Linked DNA regions of Drosophila melanogaster. The protein of the gene in region 1 interacts with the protein of each later gene in a pairwise test. Each region holds a gene or a part of one and is shown on either strand. Other genes may lie near its edges. The genes, in order: Pepck2 and aqrs.

Region 1 (3,932 bases):
GTTTAGATGTTAAGACTCTTCATCCACAGCCCCAAAGTCGTCCACTCAATCTTATTCCCCGTTAAAGAAAAAAAAAAAAACACTCAAAAAGTATTCTCCCACACTGACAGAGCTAAACAAAAATACAAATCAAGAATTATAAACTGCTGTGAATAGTTTTAGTGGTTGTAAAGTTCTATCGAAGAAGGGAAACCATAAAGCGTCTAATATTTAACTAGTTGTTAAGCGGCACCCCATTGTTCACTTCAGTTAACTGAACAGGATATCTATGAAGATAGTCCTTTCCACATTTCCGATTCGGTTTCCGGCAAAATGGTTATCACACAAATCCCCCAACGTCCCCTCCAACTTTCTCCTATTTCGGTAAGGCAAAGGCAAGTGCAACACTGATATCTGAAAACTGACAACTGAATCAAAACACATGGAATTTCGAAGTACTCAAAGTCAATGCAAAGAACGGACGACAGAACGTTGAAGACAATAAGACAAATATAGAAATATACTTATGATATGGCCCGTCGAGTTTAGAGAGATTTGTAGTCACCGACGTGGTAGATTTCCCCATAGCAGAGCAGGAATTTTTCCATTTATATCTTGTTTTTGGGAGACTTGTATCCATTTTGTACACCGCCAATCAAAAACAGTTCCAATCAAGGATCCGATTAGCCATCAGATTTATATGTACGTTTACACAATTTTAAAGTAAGAGGCCCCATACAGTTAGTTGCCCCTCCCCCACCTTATCAATTAACAAAGTCGAATCCTCGCAATGCAAACGCAACCGAAACCAAATACATAGTACCAAGCCTAATTGTATAGTTTACTTGTTTACGCCACTATATATACGAACATTAAATCTATATATACAGTACATAATAATCTATATACCTAGCTCTACTATAAATATTGTATATCAATTATTGTCGTAGTGCTAATGACCCGGACTCGTGTAAATTTGAATGTATTAAAAAAAAAACAGACACTGCAAGGTGAAGAATACTTATATGAAACATTATTATACCGTACGCAAGAAATTATTATTAATAAAGATATTTCATGATTAGTGCGTTAAGTTGAAGAAGAGCAAAAGGAGCTTATACTGTTCTTATTTCTGGTTTTGGGAGTTCCACTGTACCACAGCTGGCACGTTTAATCCCCGGCAGACGAATCTTCCGATTTTTATGGGTTTCTGAGAGAGGCGAATATTTTGTATTTGGTTTGCTGGCCACTGGTCAAAGCACCTTGGACCGAGAGCTAACAATTCCCGATTAGGCTTATCGCCCAGGGGAAAGTTTCGATTTGTTTTGTTTTGCTTTGGAACCATCTGATTCAAAAAGTCCGGCCCCTTGCCAAAATCAGACTTCGAAGGGCGTCGAAGAAGGAATTGCATTGTATGACCTTCAAAACTTGGTTTTTCGGTTAGTGGTTTTATTGGAAAGCAGCATCGTAAATTGTGCTGGTCTATAAGCTTGATAGACCTAGTAAAACGATATTACTCGTACCCAACTGGAAGCCGCACGATACGGCTAAAATGATAAGAAAAGTGCAGGGTAAGAGAAAATAATTTGCAAAGAGAACCAAAAATTACAAAATATAACATAATAATATTTCCAGTTGAATATTTGTTTCCTAAAATTGTTCATTATTCTTATATAATCTGTATATCATTTTACTTTTTAATGTGTATAGCGGTTGATCAGCGATGGAATAATCGCAGTTGGTGTGATAACAGCGCAGACATTGCAAAATAGGACCCGCCAGACCGGTGTGCTGCCAAAGGGTGGGCGTGTTTTCCGAGTTTCCCAGAGCTTTTCCCAATCACCTGCTGCATATGCAGTGGGCGGCACGTAGCACGAGCCCGAAATGCAACGGCCGCCGAGTGTGGGCTCTTATCTTATCAGAGCGAAAGCAAAACATATAGTCCATATGCTTCAGCGGCAAGAATCGAATCGAATCGGATCGGATGGGATGGGATCGTTCTCATATGAGAGCGAGGGAACGGAGCTGAGACCCAAGCAAAATGCTCGGTGGTCTGCGCACACATGTTACTTGAGCGCAGCGAGTGCCGCATAAAGTCAGTTTGGCTCGTTGTGCCAGAGCAGCAACAAGTGCTCCGCTATATCTCAATCTGAATTTGAATCCAAATCCGAAACATAATCTGTTGCCGCGGCTGTAGCTGAATACGAAGCGCAACAAGTGCGCCAGTGACATCCAGAAGCCAGTGCATTGCAGACGAGGCTGAGATAAATTTAAATTAGGTCCGCAATTTCATCAAATTAACAGCGGAACCCTGTGGCCCAACAAAGCGCAATAAATTAATTAAGACGGAGATAAAATTGCAACTGCATTAGCTGCCAAGAGTATTAGCGGGCGAAATTAGAAAGTGAAAGCCAACACGAACAGGTGACAGAATGCTGCTCAAAGGCGCACAGCTGCTGCGATGCGGGTAAGTCTAATGCGATTCGGATTCGGATACCGTCGGATTGGCGGGATTCCAGGATGGCGAAACCCCAAAGGGGATACTTTAACAGCTTGCAGTCGAGTGGTAAATCCATTAACTTGAGTGCTTAAAACAGGCTAATACCGTGTAGCCTATAGAAAATAAACAAGAAGATATTCCTATTATGAGCTGTTTCTTTCAACAGCTTATCAACTTTAGATATTTTGTTTACAATATTTGACAGTAATTAATCTAATCATTTTTAAGGCACTTCATAAACACAACACTTATCTAAGGGAAATGCTCACACCGCAAAACACCGAACCAATATACCCACCTTTTCTAAATAGAGGGGTATCCCAAATCGCCTAATAGCATTGAGTCGTCTACTTGGATTACACGCCCTAAGGTTAACCCAACTTAGTAGATGCTATTGCCTAGTAACTTACCTGCCTCAACTAAAATGTCATGCTAATAGTATTGAATCGTTCTTATCGCGTGGCGGGAAAATTCCACACTCTGCCAGTCGCAGAGCGTCCGTTACACTTTCATTCATGTAAACAAGTGGCAAAATCAACCCCAACAACACCACCGCCATCAATGTTAATGTCATCTATAAAGCTCCCAAGATCATTGCACTCGTCGCTATATATTCTTAATCTCTCAGTGCCTGTGGTCTGCATGGGTAAGAGATGCGCTCTCGGCAAAAGCTTATGTCTTATGCAAAGTACTATCATTTTGAAGCTAACATACATTGGTCGTCGCAATATTTTTGACGATGATGGAATTAGAATTAATCTTTTAAATACCATTTGTATTTATAAGTTTATATAAAGTGCCTAATTTCTTTAAGTGCATTGGAGCTTAAGCATAGTTCGTTAAATACATATTTCAGTTCCTCGGGGCACAGAAGCGTTTTTACTGCCTACTTTCAGGCGACAGGTGATTGACCAAAGCCACATAAGTTCTTTGTGGGCGCTCTTGTTTATGCAACACTTTTCTCCTTAAAAGATTTTTTCAATGAAAAGCTTGGCGATTGCCGCCGTTTCCTTTGTTTCGGTCTTTATCAGTGCTTCCCGTCTCCACCGCCACCCTCCCACCCACAGGCGGTTTATTATTTTTGCAGTTTTGTTTTGACTCATTTTCTCAGTGTGAGAGGGCTTGTGTTTGTGTGTGTGCGATCGCTGGCAAGTTGTCCAACTGGCTCTGCCTCTCTTTTGTGTATGTGTGACGCCATTAGGCGGGCAAAATAAAAACAAAGCGCTGCATGTATGGGTTTTTGAGGCCGCCTAGCAACAATGTCTCGAAGTTATCGCCGCCTGTTGACTGTTTTTACTTTTGGCTTCTGTTTTGATGGGGTGGCGTGTTTTTGTAGCCTCTTTTTGGCAATAAACCCACCCACTTACAGGCCAAGTGCAGCAAGTAACACTAAACTATAACATTTGCGTATGGGCCGGAGGTATCCGAGAGATACTTCTTTGTTCCATGGAAC
Region 2 (3,911 bases), on another chromosome or scaffold:
TGGAATTCTTTGGGGACTTGGTTAGTTGAATAGCAACCAGCATGGGATCCGCTCCTTTAAGGTAGGTCTGGTTGAGAGCGACTCTTTTCCCTTCGAGGACTTCGTCATCGTACATCTTCATCGTGACCACTTCACTGCTGGCCAAATTAAAACAAGTGCTAGTGGTAATCACTAGCATCTCGGATATCACCGTGCCCATGCAGATATATTTGTTTTGCTGATAGAGTCTCACCATCAGCTCGTGCAGCGGCACCTTCTTGTCCGAATTGGTCAAGGTAACTACAGGCTCCTTGGAATGTCCATACTGTACTGTGTCATTATTCGGATTATTTGGATTATTGAGATTATTGGGATTATCGGGACTATCGGAATTATTTGGATTATTGGGATTATTTGGATTATTGGGATCGATAGCCATTTCGTGATCGCTCCTTACAGTACGGCGTCGTTTGTAGTTCATTTGGGTTTTTCGATTGTGCTGCGGCTTATAGGTGTCCAGCATATAGCGATGGAGATGAGTGTTCGAGGATTCCGACTCGTTCGCCAGGAAAGCGAGCAAAAGGATCTGAATAATGCACAGTGGTCGCAGCATCGTTACTCAATAAGTCTCTGGTACTAAGCATATCTTATTATTGACTTGACCATAGTGCTTACAAAATCAATTTGTGACGCCTTATAATTTGACATTTACACTAATTGCAACCATAACATAATATTTTTTTACACTGATTAAAATTTGAATAAAACTAATAATAATCGAGAACGCTTTCAACATGATTCTCAATGGAATTCTTGACTTCCCGATCTGGTCCTCCATTAAGAGGATCATCGAATGCTAATTCCTCTGGGGGACCACCAACATAAACATTGGGCGACTTCTTCACTATGGCCTCAAGCAGGGGTGACAATGTAGTTGGATACGATTCATTGTATGGACCCGATCCAGTGAAAGCCCTCAGGGCATCCGTGGCCGTCTGGATGAAGGGTATGACCGGCCTAATGGGTAGGTATATGTCCATGTTGGTGGAGTCGTCATCCTCGTCGCAGTGCTCTCCATATATATTAATGGCCGCCAGTTTGTTGTCAATCAGTAAGGGATCACCAGGCCGGGTGCTGCATGTGGTCTTCTTCGAGTGTCGCTTGTTTCGTACGCAGATAAAGTCCGGCTCAAAGGTGGAAACATGGAATACCTCCTTTAGGCCGTAGTGGATTTTGCAGCGATCTATGTCCATAACCCGCGTGTTGTACAGTCTGATCTGGAACTTGGGTGGACCATAGTAGGCCATCTTTACGTCATCCCCCGCCTGTGGCTTCTTACGATGCAGGGGAATATATCGGTATTTGTCTCTGTCGAGCTTGTTAGAGAGGGCGAGCAGAGCCACGTAGTTGGTAAAGCGTTCATTCTTATTAACCGGCATGAAAAATCCGATCACCTGATGTGGTTCCGGATTGTCGTCCAATTCCACGCCAGTCAATATGGACAGATGTTTGGCCGTGTACTCGTATATCAAATCGAATCTCCGCGGCTGGAAGCAGTGCGTCGAGGTCACGACCATTCTGCGGGAGATTAGCGCCCCCGCACAGATGACGGATCCCTCGTTCAACACGTTTACGTAGTATGTCAAGTCCCGCGTAGCATCGAAAGGAAGTCGCTTTTGGACCTCCACCGGCTTCGGTTTGTCCCGTTCCTCGAGAGCTTCTCGATTGTAATCCACGTGGTCCTTGGTTCTGTGGGCTCGATTGTAGTAAGTGGGTCGGTGGTAGTTCTCCGAGTACTTTTTTATCCACAGGGAGGCACTGTAGTCCATCCCAAGGATGGACAAAATGCATGTGAATAGGAGTCGCATGTCGAAAAGGAACTGGCACTTTAATCAGATTCCAGCACGCCGAACGAGATTTAGTTAGCTAACTTAATTAGTTTCACTTTGAGTAAAAGAAAATTAAGTCACTCAGTGTTCACACATGAACACGAATATATTTAAAGACTTACAATTTTGGGCTCCGTTCATATCTTATGTAAATGAATCGAGAGCGATAAATTATATTTAGGATTTTGTTATCTAAGGCGACATGGGTGCATTGCTCAAAAACATGTAATTTAAGTGCACACTACATGAGTCAGTCACTTGAGATCGTTCCCCGCCTCCTAAAATAGTCCCTTAGTGGGAGACCACAGATAAGGTCCTCGCCGCTCAAGATAGGCAGATGTGCCCGAGCGTGGGACCTCGATAAGGCGGGGACTATTTACGTAGGCCTCTGCGTAGGCCATTTACTTTAAGATGCGATTCTCATGTCACCTATTTAAACCGAAGATATTTCCAAATAAAATCAGTTTCTTACAAAAACTCAACGAGTAAAGTCTTCTCATTTGGGACTTTACATTTGGTCCTTCGAGCCGGATTTGAACCAGCGATATGAGAATAAAAGAAACATATTCTCAGATCATATGAATAGGCTTATGGATATGCCAAATTTAAATTTAGAATCCAATAAGCAAATAAAGACATTTATTGACACGATTAACGAGTCAATTTATATTATAAAATTAAAGGCACAATTACCAGAAGATGTGGATGCAATTTTCGCTCACATAATTCTTCGGAAATTCAATAAAGAATCACTCAATTTATATGAAAGCCATGTTAAAAAGACAAAAGAAATACAGGCACTTTCTGATGTCATGGACTTTTTAGAGCAAAGGCTCAATTCTATATCATCATTCTCACAGGAAGTAAAACCTGTAAAGAAAATGATTAATAATAACAAGAATAGAAATTATAGTGACAATTGTGCATATTGCAAACTACCAGGGCATTATTTAATTCAATGCCATAAATTTAAAATAATGAATCCAGCAGAACGGTCTGACTGGGTAAGAAAAAATGGGATTTGCCTAAGATGTCTGAGGCATCCGTTTGGTAAAAAATGTATAAGCGAGCAGCTTTGTTCGACTTGTCGTAAACCTCACCACACGTTACTTCACTTTGCAGGTCATAATCCAGAAAAAGTGAATACGTGTAGAACAACAGGTCAAGCCTTGTTGGCCACGGCCTTGATTCAAGTAAAGTCGAGGTATGGAGGCTTTGAACAATTAAGAGCATTGATTGATAGTGGCTCTCAAAGCACAATTATTTCAGAAGAGTCTGCACAGATTCTAAAATTGAAAAAATTTCGGTCTCATACTGAAATAAGTGGAGTATCTTCCACAGGAACGTGCATCTCCAAGCACAAAGCGGTTATTTCGATAAGAAATTCTCCGAAAAATTTAGAAATTGAAGCAATTATTCTCCCAAAACTTATGAAGGCACTTCCAGTCAACACGATTAATGTTGATCAGAAAAAATGGAAGAACTTTAAATTAGCCGACCCCGATTTTAATAAACCGGGTCGCATTGATTTAATCATTGGAGCAGACGTATATACTCACATTCTGCAAAATGGAGTTATAAAAATAGACGGTCTCCTTGGGCAAAAAACTGATTTCGGGTGGATAGTTTCTGGATGTAAAAAATCCAAAGGAAAAGAAACCATTGTAGCCACAACAATAGAAATAAAAGAGTTAGATCGCTACTGGGAAGTGGAAGAAGAAGAAAAAGATGATATCGAGTCTGAAATCTGTGAAAATAAATTTATCAAAACGACAAAAAAAGATTCAGATGGGCGATACATTGTGTCAATTCCATTCAAGGAGGATGTCACCTTAGGAGATTCAAAGAAACAAGCGATAGCTCGTTACATGAATCTGGAGAAAAAACTAAAAAGAAATGAAAAACTTAAGGTTGACTACACTAAATTCATGAATGAATACATGGATTTAGGACACATGATTGAAGTGAGTGATGAAGGCAAATATTTTTTACCGCACCAGGCAGTGATTAGAGATTCAAGCCTTACGACCAAATTGAGAGTAG

What was found.
Region 2: the proteins of Pepck2 (region 1) and aqrs interact in a two-hybrid assay, tested with the Drosophila melanogaster proteins (one large-scale study listed by BioGRID).

The regions. Positions count from the first base shown.
Region 1 is NT_033778.4:18,525,355-18,529,286, forward strand, and holds the start of Pepck2 (phosphoenolpyruvate carboxykinase 2), read left to right. Parts: upstream 1-2,075; 5' UTR 2,076-2,411; coding exon 2,412-2,446; intron 2,447-3,932.
Region 2 is NT_033777.3:28,756,388-28,760,298, forward strand, and holds aqrs (aquarius), read right to left. Parts: upstream 1,848-3,911; coding exon 747-1,847; 3' UTR 612-746; downstream 1-611. Other genes in the region: CG9997 (uncharacterized protein), read right to left, coding at 1-592.